3 linked regions of the Neurospora crassa OR74A genome follow. Each later gene encodes a partner of the first gene's protein in a complex. Links are inferred from orthologs where the notes say so. Each region holds a gene or a part of one and is shown on either strand. Other genes may lie near its edges. The genes, in order: NCU03479, un-17 and NCU08353.

What was found.
Region 2: NCU03479 (region 1) and un-17 share a complex: the UniProt entries of both Saccharomyces cerevisiae proteins name them as parts of the cleavage and polyadenylation factor (CPF) complex. The link is inferred for Neurospora crassa OR74A from reciprocal best matches to the Saccharomyces cerevisiae genes YSH1 and PAP1.
Region 3: NCU03479 (region 1) and NCU08353 share a complex: the UniProt entries of both Saccharomyces cerevisiae proteins name them as parts of the cleavage and polyadenylation factor (CPF) complex. The link is inferred for Neurospora crassa OR74A from reciprocal best matches to the Saccharomyces cerevisiae genes YSH1 and YTH1.

Annotation. Positions count from the first base shown.
Region 1 is NC_026502.1:551,252-555,357, forward strand, and holds the start of NCU03479 (endoribonuclease ysh-1), read left to right. Parts: upstream 1-1,248; 5' UTR 1,249-1,574; coding exon 1,575-1,724; intron 1,725-1,796; coding exon 1,797-1,894; intron 1,895-2,288; coding exon 2,289-4,099; intron 4,100-4,106. Other genes in the region: NCU03480 (hypothetical protein), read right to left, coding at 1-592. UniProt on the Saccharomyces cerevisiae protein: Component of the cleavage and polyadenylation factor (CPF) complex, which plays a key role in polyadenylation-dependent pre-mRNA 3'-end formation and cooperates with cleavage factors including the CFIA complex and NAB4/CFIB. Has endonuclease activity.
Region 2 is NC_026503.1:4,130,987-4,135,303, reverse strand, and holds un-17 (Poly(A) polymerase), read left to right. Parts: upstream 1-1,442; 5' UTR 1,443-2,002; coding exon 2,003-2,902; intron 2,903-2,951; coding exon 2,952-3,950; 3' UTR 3,951-4,173; downstream 4,174-4,317. Other genes in the region: NCU08984 (hypothetical protein), read right to left, coding at 1-268, 360-517, 579-620. UniProt on the Saccharomyces cerevisiae protein: Polymerase component of the cleavage and polyadenylation factor (CPF) complex, which plays a key role in polyadenylation-dependent pre-mRNA 3'-end formation and cooperates with cleavage factors including the CFIA complex and NAB4/CFIB.
Region 3 is NC_026501.1:5,654,063-5,657,551, reverse strand, and holds NCU08353 (mRNA 3'-end-processing protein yth-1), read left to right. Parts: upstream 1-1,433; 5' UTR 1,434-1,753; coding exon 1,754-2,707; 3' UTR 2,708-2,944; downstream 2,945-3,489. Other genes in the region: NCU11325 (alcohol dehydrogenase), read right to left, coding at 1-477, 538-849, 911-1,046, 1,115-1,147; NCU08354 (hypothetical protein), read right to left, coding at 3,145-3,489. UniProt on the Saccharomyces cerevisiae protein: RNA-binding component of the cleavage and polyadenylation factor (CPF) complex, which plays a key role in polyadenylation-dependent pre-mRNA 3'-end formation and cooperates with cleavage factors including the CFIA complex and NAB4/CFIB.

The sequences.
Region 1 (4,106 bases):
GTTGCTGGTGGACTGGCGGGCTAGGGTGTTGGATCTGAGGTTGCTGCAACTGGGCCTGGGGATGCTGGAGTTGTGGATGATGTTGCTGTTGTTGCGGCTGCGGGACATGCTGCTGCTGCTGCTGAGGATGTTGGGGGTGTTGTGGTTGTTGTTGAGCGTGTTGCTGGTGAGTTGGGGCTTGCTGGTGCCCTTGCTGATGGACCTGTTGCTGTACACGTTGCTGCGGCTGCTGTTGCTGTTGTTGTTGCGGCGGCGGCGGTTGGGTCTGCTGTTGGCTATGTTGTTGCAACTGTTGGGGAATTTGGCGAGGCTGGACATGCTGCTGAGGTTGCTGGGCGCGTTGCTGCAGCTGTTGCTGAGCAAGGGCTTGGGCTTGTTGTTGAGCGAGCATCTGGGCACGTTGTTGCTGTTGTTGCTGGAGCTGGAACTGTTGCAACTGCGGCGACATTTGTGGTGGTTGCTGCTGCTGCTGCAACTGAGGTTGTTGTTGTTGTTGTTGTTGTTGTTGTTGCAACTGAGGCTGCTGCTGTTGTAACTGAGGCTGCTGCTGTTGCAACTGAGGCATCTGAGGCTGTTGCGGTGGTTGCGCCATGGTGATGGGGCGCCCTTGGGGTGGACAGATGAAGGTCGTCGTTGATAATAAGCAGCTATTCCTTGTCCTCCAGCTGACGGCGAGGCTGAGCTCCCAACTGATCAAGTGCTCAGGTTCCCGTCACCGTAAACCCAAGTGGAAGCAGGCGAACCTGCGCTGCCCCTCTAGCTACGCCGTGTCTCTCCTTCCATACGCCGGTCGCTCGTATCGATCGGTGTCCGAGTTGGTCGATGTATTTCTCGCTCGTTGGAGTATCGTCGTGGTCGACAATTAATTGTCGTTTGGATCCGCGGGAGTGATGGCGACGGTGGGAGGTTATGAATCGGATTGTTGGGTGAAGCACTGGAGGAGGGGAGGTCGAGGTCGGGTGGTCGGAGAAAGAATGACGAACAATAAAATCGAAAAGAGGGACTCTCGCACACGAAGAACGACGGGACCAGTTGCTGCCCGCCGCTGCAGGTTCAATTGCTTGTTGCTAGCGGCGGCACGAGCTCCACTGAACCTCAACAAGGGTCGCGTCTGGTACGTACAATGAAGTGAGTGAGCCAGTCACGTGTGAGATTGGTGGAAAATAGTGGGGCATTTGGCCGTTGACGGTTGTTGTGCGGCTGGCTTGGGACCGAAGAGGGACTTCCGGCAGGCAAATCAGCCGCCAACTTCAACCTCACTTCATTCAACGAGCACTTGCCATCTTCATCCAAAACGCATTCAACATCCATCAACGAAATCACATCAAGGGCGCCATCCATATTCACGGCGCGTACTAATCCGTGATATTCCGTCTTTCTTCTCACGTCGACTGAGCCACGTCATCTCGCAATTGACGTGCGTAATTCGCGTTTCAAATCGCATCGAAACCGCCACACTTTGCCAATCAAACAATCGCAGTCAGCAGCTTGAAAGTTCCCAAGTATATACAGGGCGACGGTGGGAAAGCAAGGATTTACGCGTGGAGCGAACGAACCAAAAGAATACCTAAGCCATGGCTTCCAAGCGGAAGGCTTCGGCAATGGCGACGGAGCCAGAGGAGCCGGTCGACCCAGCGGATGAACTCATGTTCCTCAACCTCGGCGGAGGCAACGAAGTCGGCCGATCATGTCACATCATCCAGTACAAGGGCAAAACCGTTATGGTGCGCAAAATCAACCAAAATCAATCACTCCTCCCAACGAACATGGGCTGACCTCTCCGTGGGTTGTTGTAGCTTGATGCTGGCCAACATCCAGCATATGATGGCCTAGCTGCCCTTCCATTCTTTGATGACTTCGATCTCAGCACAGTAGATGTCCTCTTGATCAGCCAGTAAGCCCAACCCCCTTCACCCCCTTTTTTTGCCATGGCCTACAATTATATGTATGCCCGTCTATCCGCGAGAGACAGTGCCGCAGTGTTTGGCTTGGGACAAGATGGGTTGATGATCGAGCTGGGCTCTGGATATACGCCATCGCCAGTGACTGACACGTTGCTCTATGGTCTCTGCGGTTCTTGTCCGCTTTGCAGCATTGTACCGTCCATCATATACATGTATTCAGGAAATGAAAATACAAAAGAATTTGTCGCCATTGCCCGCTCTTCTCCTTTTCCCCCTCCCATCTTGTCTGCCACTCGCGCTGCATGTTCTCTGTGAAGCACTGTCCTCGCCCATAGTCGCCTACCTGGTCCAGACCTTAGCCGAGACTGACTGCCCACTCTCTAGTTTTCATATCGACCATGCCGCCTCGTTACCATATGTCTTGGCCAAGACCAACTTCCGAGGCCGTGTCTTCATGACACATGCCACCAAGGCTATCTACAAATGGCTTATCCAGGACAGTGTCCGTGTTGGCAACACATCGTCGAACCCGCAATCGTCGCTCGTCTACACCGAGGAGGACCATCTCAAGACCTTTCCCATGATCGAGGCCATCGACTACAATACTACCCACACCATCTCCTCCATCCGCATCACACCATACCCAGCCGGCCACGTCCTTGGCGCCGCCATGTTTCTGATTGAGATCGCCGGCCTCAAGATCTTCTTCACTGGCGACTATTCCCGTGAAGAAGACAGGCATCTTATCTCTGCCAAAGTCCCCAAGGGTGTCAAGATCGACGTCCTCATCACCGAGTCCACCTACGGTATCGCCTCGCACATTCCCCGACCAGAACGTGAACAGGCCCTCATGAAATCCATCACCGGCATCCTTAACAGAGGCGGCCGCGTCCTCATGCCCGTCTTCGCCCTCGGTCGAGCCCAGGAGCTCCTCCTCATCCTCGACGAGTACTGGGGCAAGCACGCCGAATACCAGAAATACCCCATCTACTACGCCTCCAACCTCGCGCGCAAGTGTATGCTTGTCTACCAGACCTATGTCGGCTCCATGAACGACAACATCAAGCGGCTGTTCCGCGAGCGTCTGGCCGAGTCCGAGTCCTCCGGTGACGGTGCCGGCAAGGGAGGACCATGGGACTTTAGGTTCATCCGCTCCCTCAAGAGCCTTGACCGCTTCGAGGACGTCGGCGGCTGCGTCATGCTTGCCTCCCCTGGTATGCTCCAAAATGGCGTCAGTCGCGAGCTGCTGGAGCGATGGGCGCCGAGCGAGAAGAACGGCGTTATCATCACCGGTTACTCCGTCGAGGGCACCATGGCCAAGCAGCTCCTTCAAGAGCCAGAGCAGATTCAAGCCGTCATGTCTCGCAACATTGCCGGTGCCCGCCGCGGCCCCGGTGGTGACGCCGAGAAGGTCATGATCCCCCGTCGCTGCACCGTCCAGGAGTTCTCCTTTGCTGCGCACGTTGACGGCGTGGAAAACAGGGAGTTCATCGAGGAAGTCGCCGCCCCCGTCGTCATCCTCGTTCACGGCGAGGTGCACAACATGATGCGTCTCAAGTCCAAGCTTCTTTCGCTCAACGCGACCAAGGAACACAAAGTCAAGGTGTTCAGCCCCAGAAACTGCGAGGAGCTTCGCATCCCTTTCAAGACGGACAAAGTCGCCAAGGTGGTGGGCAAGCTTGCGTCCATCCCGCCTTCTTTAAAGGAAGCCAAGACCGGGCATGACGGACCTCTTCCCTCCTCTACCGAACCTCAGCTTATCACTGGTGTTTTGGTGCAAAACGACTTCAAAATGTCCCTGATGGCTCCGGAGGATCTCAGAGAGTATGCTGGCTTGACGACCACCACTATTGCGTGCAAGCAGCGTTTGAAGCTGAGTGCCGCTGGTATTGACCTCATCAAGTGGGGTCTCGAAGGAACCTTTGGTGCCGTCGAAGAACTCCCCGAAGTGAAGCCAAAGCTGGAGATCGTTAAGAGCGAGAACGGCGATACCAAGATGGAAGAAGCTGATGAGGAGTTGCCCCACGGTGACGACGTGGTAGCCGCTTACCTGGTCATGGGATGCGTCACCGTCCGCTACCGTGCCAGCGGCGAGGTAGAACTAGAGTGGGAAGGCAACATGCTCAACGACGGCATTGCTGATGCCGTGATGGCCGTGTTGCTTGGTATTGAGAGTAGTCCAGCTGCCGTGAAGCGTATGTC
Region 2 (4,317 bases), on another chromosome or scaffold:
GCCCTGGATATAGGGAAACATGAGCGAGCTGGGGCTGGGTGGTCGATGGAGAGGCGCGGAGTCGGCGGTGCGATGGTCCAGCTTCGGGTCCTCGACGGCCGGGTCGGTGCTGCCGTGGATAGGCTTGTCGGAGGAGAGCTCGATGGCGGTTTCGGCGGCGACGATGCCGCCCATGGAGTGGCCGACTAGAACGACGCGGACCGAGGGATCTATGGTGGGCGATGAGGTTCCGGCGGCAACTTCGAGGTCGATGACTTTATTCATGAGCCTGTGATAGCGAGGGCGACCCATGTTAGGGATGGTTCGGGGCTTCAAGCATGTGACAGATGAAGGAACGGATGCGGTCGATGAGCACATACCAATCTCGAAATCGCGCTACGCACTCGCCCAAGTCCCCTCGAGTCTCATATTTGGGATATACCACGACGTTGACGTTTATCTTGGGTAGGTCGGCCGCGACAAGTTGGCGGAGGTGCTCGGTGAAGGCATAGTTGTCGCCAAAGGTCGACTCACCTCCCTTTGCATGACAATGTCAGTTTGATCTTGGCTGGCGCGTCGCTTAATCTCATTGTACATACCTTGAAGCCGTGGATGAAGCAGAGAAGTAATGTCTTTTTCATCCTTCCCCATTGAGACTAAGCAAAGTGGAAGTGGTGCAAAATGGATGTAGTGTAGGGGAGGCCGAGAGAATCCAGATGCGACACCCATGTAAACTTTCAACGTTGCCCCGGCTGTTACGGTGATCCTCCATCTAGCGGCAGCGTCATGTGCAGGGGCCTGCAGGGCCAGTGTGGGGGCGGGGCCGCGCTATGGAAGGGACCTCCCAGGGGAACTCCAGTGGATGATGCATGGACACCTGGTCCGGTCTTGCCCTTGCTTGCCGCTTGGGGCCAGATCCCATCTTCCACAGGGGCCGCGGCAGCTTTGAAATGTCATCTGTTCTCCAAATCCATACTTCTACTCTATCGTCATTTGACCTTCACTCCGATGGTACGTACCTAGCATTAGACCAAAGTTGAATTGGTACTTACAGCCGATATAATAGAATACGTCCCTGAATATTAGACCGATGTTTACTGCAAAAATGGAACTGATTCTGCCAACTCACCTGTCCCCATGGCGTTACTCGAATGTACTGTAAGATGCCCAGAAGTGGACAGACGGACATCCTACGCCTACCTACCTAGGTACTTGAAGGAACAGGTCGGGTTGTCTGGGGAAGACCTTCTTCTACCTGAAATGCGGCAGTCCAGCGGCCTTTGCAATGTGACGATTGAGCTTTTCAGAGCTTGACTCCCTGAATTGTCGGAACCAAGACACCAAAACCTAAGCCAACATGATACCCGTCTTATTATGGTGGGGGTACCAAAGTACTTGAATTTCAGTGGAGATTAGGTATCCCCGTGCGGGTCCCAGGATACTCGTCAGAGGTTTACGGGTGATTCCTGCAGGTTGCATTTCAAGTTGCAGTGTCCAGCGTCTCTGAAATAACAGGACATTGCTTCGCGCCAATCATGCTGCCAGACTTGTGGTGAGTGGGAGTCCGTGCTCAACACCCAGGCTGAACCGAGACGCGCCGAGTCGGCGACGTGCTTTTTGTCTTCTGCGACAACCTACCTAACGCAGCCCCTTCATCCATCCCCATCGATCACCCTGTCTGGTTTCGGCTTCTCCGACTGCCCCAGGGTCGATATCAGAATCAATCAGCTATCCGGTATCACCATCTTTCGAATCAACAAAAAGCACAGCATATCATGACCTGAGCGTTCTTTGCCTTACGTGGAGCTGCTTGGTTCCTTCTGTTCAATCCCATCATAGACTTCTATTTTCGCCCGTCAGCGTTCTCTCACTGCGCCTGCGCTCCTCTCTTTTGCGCGCGCGATCCAGTTTTCCTCTTGTCGCGACCAGCGTCATCGATCAGTCCTGCACGACATATTTCGTCTTCGATACTCTTAGCGGCGCATCCAGCACGCTTCCTCGTCCCACCGCGCTTCGTGCCACCATGTCGAACCCCGAACAAACCTTGGGCGTAACGCCTCCTATCTCGACCACGCTACCTACCGACGCCGAGAAACGACAGACCGAGGCCCTTCTCAAAGAGCTGCGCGCGCAGGGCACCTTCGAAAGTCAGGCCGAAACTGATAAGCGATGGGCGGTGCTCGCAGATCTCCAGCGCATTACTGATGAATTCGTGAAGAGGGCCGCGCAGGAAAAGGAGCCGCACAATGCCATTTTGATTCGCGACGCTCGAGGCAGAATATTCACATATGGCAGTTTTCGCTTGGGTGTGTATGGGCCAGGATCCGATATCGATACCCTCGTCGTTGTACCCAAGTACGTCACCGTCAAGCAATACTTCGACATCTTTCCCAACCTTCTTGTCGAAATGGCTCCCCCTGGCGCCATCACCGACCTGACTCCAGTACCCGAGGCCTTCGTTCCTATCATCAAGTTCGAGTATTCGGGCATCAGCATAGATCTTATCTTCTGTTCAATCCAGAGCCTTCGTCAACTTCCTGACGACAAGGACTGGAATTTGAACAGTAACAACCTCCTGCGCGGCTTGTCCGAAAACGAGGTGCGCTCGCTCAACGGAACACGCGTAACCGACGAGATCCTTGCGCTGGTTCCCGAAGAGAAGACGTTCAAGCTGGCACTTCGTGCAATCAAGCTCTGGGCTCAGAGAAGGGCTATCTACGCCAATATCATGGGTTATCCTGGTGGTGTGGCTTGGGCTATGCTGGTCGCCAGAGTATGCCAACTCTATCCGAAGGCGACGAGTGCTGTCATCGTCAGGAAATTCTTCACTATTATGCTCAACTGGCCATGGCCGCTCCCGGTTCTTCTGAAGAATATCGAATACAACCAGTCCATTACGCGTGTAGCGGTGTGGAATCCCAAGGTAAGTCAACCCCTCATCATTGTCGCGCTGATGTCTCACCACAGACTAGATATACCCGAGTGATCGCAATCACAAGATGCCCATCATCACCCCATCATACCCTTCCATGTGCGCGACACACAATGTTGGAAGGTCTTCAATGGCGGTCATTCAACAGGAGCTGGAACGGGGGGTGCAGATTTCCGAAGAGATCATGTTGGGTAAAAGGCCTTGGAAAGATTTGTTCGAGAAACACACCTTTTTCACCAACGGCTTCAAGTTTTACCTGACGGTCATCTCATCCGGCAGGACCAAAGAGGCGCAGAATACCTGGTCGGGCTTCGTCGAGTCAAGAGTGCGTGTTCTGGTCCAGAAGCTTGAGCTGCACCCTTCCATCGCCCTTGCCCGCCCCTTCAACAAAGGTTACGACAGAGTGCACCGATGCAAGACGGATGCTCAGGTCGAAGAGATTCAAACCGGAAATCTCACATACATGGTCAAGCCGACGGATATAGCCGCGAATGGGAGCGCCAAGAACGACAGCAAGGTTGAGGTCAAGGCGGAGATCAAGACGGAGGATGGTGTTGCACGGGAGCCGACTGTGCCGGCTGTCAAGGAAGAACCGAACGACGTGGTACATCTAGGAACGGTACCTCTAAAGCCTGAGGACAACTCTGTAAAGCCTGAGGCCAACGACTACGACGAAGACAAGGTTAAGCTGGAGGATATACCGGAGAAGGAGCCGGAGCTTGAGATTTACACCACTAACCATTACATCGGCCTGCAGCTGGTAGAGGGAGCTAAGTCTCTGGATCTGTCCAGAGAAGTCGACGACTTCAAGGCAATGTGCACCTCGAACGACATCTTCAAAGCAGAGTTGATGGGATTGACTATCCAGCACGTTAGGAATTTCGATCTCCCCGACGACGTTTTCGAGCCTGGAGAGACGAAGCCTGTTAGGCCAGTCAAGAAGAAGAAGCGTATGGCCGAAGGGGAACATGCGAACGGCCCGATGGCCAAGCGACAACAGATGGCGACCGCGCCACCGACCATTAAGAGCGAACACTGATCGAAGGATGTACAGACAGATTTTGTTGGCGGTCACGGACAAATTAGTTGCTATGTGCGAGCAGTACCACGCGCGAGGTGTAGAGAAATGTATCTAAGATAGAGTTGCTAAATCTGCTAGACTAATAAATTTAGTTTTTCGGGGCACAAGTGCCCCATCAACTAAGCCAAGTTTCCATCTCGCAGTGGTCTTTGCGTCCGTGACTTTTCATCTCACTTCTTGCTCTATTATACATCATCTTAACAAATTCTTTGCTGCGTCGATTGCTTCTGCTAATGAATTGAGCTGTTAGTTCCGTTGTACTCGGGGGAAAACGCCATATGCGCCTCAGTATGTCAACGTCAAAATGCCAGCAGCCAATCAAAGC
Region 3 (3,489 bases), on another chromosome or scaffold:
TCTCACGACCCCCCAAAGCGATCAATGCATCCGGAATTTTTTCGAGACCGACGAACTCCTTGTCGCTGAACACAGTCGGTTTGAACTTGCCTTCGGCAATCAACTTCATGATGCCCTGCCACACGGTCACCACCGTCTCCTTCTCATGGACAGCGTATTGGCCCCAGTGAACACCGACGAGGCTGATGTTCTTGAGAAGAACCTTGTTCATGGCCACCTTCTCGATCTTGCCGGCAGCGAAACCGACAATCAGGATGCGGCCATTCCACGCAGTACATTTGGTGCTCAGATCTACCAGGCCGACAGGATCGTAGACAATGTCAACACCCTTGCCTTTAGGGGTCAACTTCTTCACCATCTCGGGCCACTTGGGGTCCGTGTAGTCGACGACATGATCAGCGCCAAAGGACTTGGCGACTTCGAGCTTGTGCTTGGTTCCGGCCGTAGCAATGACAGTTGCTCCAAACGCCTTTGCAACTATGTGTGGGATTAGCAACGAAGTAGTTCATCTTCGAGACGGGTATGTATGCCACTAACCTTGGACTGCGGCAAGACCTACACCACCGGCCGCAGCGTGAACAAGGACGAAGTCGCCCTTCTTGACGCCGGCCCGAACAACAAGGGCTCCATAGCTGGTTGGTGCCGTCACAAAGAGGCCGGCAGCATCCACAAGCGACCAGCCTTCGGGAGCTGGGAGGAGGGCCGTCTCCTTGGCTTTGACTTTGGTAGCGTACGCACCCTGGCTAGCTCCAAACACACGTGAACCGACGGGGAACTTGGGGTCCTTGAGGCCGGAAGGGGTGGCGAGAACCACGCCGGCGAACTCGGCACCTGATACCCAGGGGAATGCTAAGACGCAACGTCAGCATACTGAATGCAATGTAAGCGGGACTCAATAAAGAAGCCGCACGTGGTTGATTCTGGTATTTGCCCTGAATCTGAAGAATGTCGAAAAAGTTGGTTGCCGCAGCATGAACTTCAATCAAGTACTCATCTGAAGTAGGTGTAGGGTCTGGAAGCTCCGTGACCCTGAGCTCTTGCGGGCTCTGAGTTAAGGGCTAATGTTAGAACCACGAAATGGGAAGATGTCCTGGATGATCGAGATAGGACATACCTTAACATACTGTGCCACCTGAATGCCTCTCATCTGGGAAGGATACCTGGAGTAATAGAGTGCTTTGTTACACTGGAAAGAAGCAGACGCAGAAACACCGAGTGAGATACACAAGCAGTGAAAGAATGACAACCTATATGATTAAACAAGGGTACAATATGGTTGAACAAATGCCGAATAGCCATCGCGGGGGTGACCGCTAGCCCAGTGTAAGGGAAGCCGAGGTAGCCCAGACCGGGATAGCTGATCTCTGATTGGTCACTCACCTTGCATCTCTCGGTGAGTCCACGTCTTATCGATTTCCAACAATCGATTTGCGACTTGTTGCACTCTTTCTCTCCAAACTCTCAACCACACCTTGCTTCAATTTTTTGAATGGCGCAACCTGCTGTGCGAACTTCTCCCGACCAAAGCCGAATTTGAAACTGGGCAAACGCAGCAAAGAATACGACTCTTGGTTAAGCGTGCATAAACACAAGCCACGCGCATTCTCTAGGCAAGATTCATTACGACTGGTCGCCCAGCTACATACCTCTCCGAACCGATCGTGAACCGCTCGCGACAAAACAAGCCTACCCACCTTGAAGCCCGAATCGCACCGGCGAACCACCTTTTTCCCCCCCTCACACATCCGCCGAGATGGCGACAACAACACAGACAACAACAAACTCCCTCCCCTCTGGGGCAGGAGGACCGCAACAACTCGTCACTCAGATGCTCAACCACACCGCGCCACACTATACCTTCTCCTTCACGCCCTTCCTCCAGCGCACGTACCAGCACTCTCTCCCCGCCGACCGACCCATCTGCAAAGCCTACGCCTCAGGCAACTGCCCCCTCAAATCCCACTGCCCCGAGCGCCACGTTACCGCGTCGTCCCAAAACACCCATGGCGGCGGTAACACCTTCAGCGGCGGCTTCGGCTCGCTAGTCTGCAAGCATTGGCTGCGCGGCCTCTGCAAAAAGGGCGAATCGTGCGAGTTCCTGCACGAGTACAACCTGCGCAAGATGCCCGAGTGCAATTTCTTCGTCAGGAACGGGTACTGCAGCAACGGGGACGAGTGTCTGTATCTGCACATTGATCCGCTGTCGAGATTGCCGCCGTGCCCGCATTACGAGAGGGGGTTCTGTCCGCTGGGACCGCGATGTGACAAGAAGCATTTCCGGAGGAAGCTGTGTTTGTATTACCTGGCGGGCTTCTGTCCGGATGGGAAGGGCTGCAAGGAGGGCGCGCATCCGAGGTGGACGGCGGATAAGGATATGGAGAAGCCGAGGGCGAAGGGGGAGGGAGATCAGATGCTGCTGCAGCAGCAACAGCAGCAGCAACAACAACAACACATGGGCGATGCTAATGGTATGGGTGGTGGAATGGCGCAGGCGACGGGCGCGAATGAGTATATGGACCGAGAGAGGGAGCGCGATCGGGATAACAGGGAGAGGGAGATGATGATGCAGGGACGCGATAGGGACGGTGGCGGGCATGATCGCCATAAGGATCGCTTTGGAGGCGGAGGAGGAGGAGGAGGAGGAGGCAGAGGCCGAGGAGGATGGAGGGGAAGAGGAAGGGGAGGATTTAGGGGTAAAGGTCATTAAGAGAACATTGGTCCCAAAGCGGCCAGGGGAGGTCAAATGGTACATGAACATAGCGACATATTTAGGCTAGTGCTCGGACGATGAGAAGGCCCAGGAATCCGGTAGTAAAGACCAGGTATGCATCACGGAATAAGGAATAGGTCACGGCGCAAAGGCAAGGTTATATCTAGTGTATTAGCTGTAGGTCAGGTTTACATTCACAGGGTTTGTGAGATTCTTATAAAAATTGCTAGCTTGACAGTTTTGAGGAGCTGTGATCTGTATGTTCTTCCAAAATAGACTGAGAGGGACGAGATCCCAAAACATGAACGCCGCTCCCTACCTAGGACACCCGTAACCAAATGATAATCAACCCACCGTCTGAGATGCTATGGCATATGCCATTCTTGTCGACACTGCCTTCTTTTGTACTCTTCCAAACTATTCCCATGAAGACTTTACTCCATCGGCACCGCAACAAACAACTCATTCGATGTGCGGGCCCCAGTCCCCACCTCCTCCTCATCCCCATTCTCGCTTCCCATAGACCTCACCGAGCCACCCGACCTTGGGCTATTAAACGAGCTATGACTCGACTGCCACGCCGCCAGCTCGTCCACCGTCCGGATACCCATCATCCACGCCACCAGCCCGCGCGGCACCCAGCGTCCGACAAACCCATACACGCTCGCGCCGAGGCCGACGCGCACAGTGCCCTTGGTAATGGACCCGTCAATCACGTCAAAAACAGCATTATGCAGCTCCCGCAACGAGCTGCCGCGCATCCCGCGGATGCGGCCCGT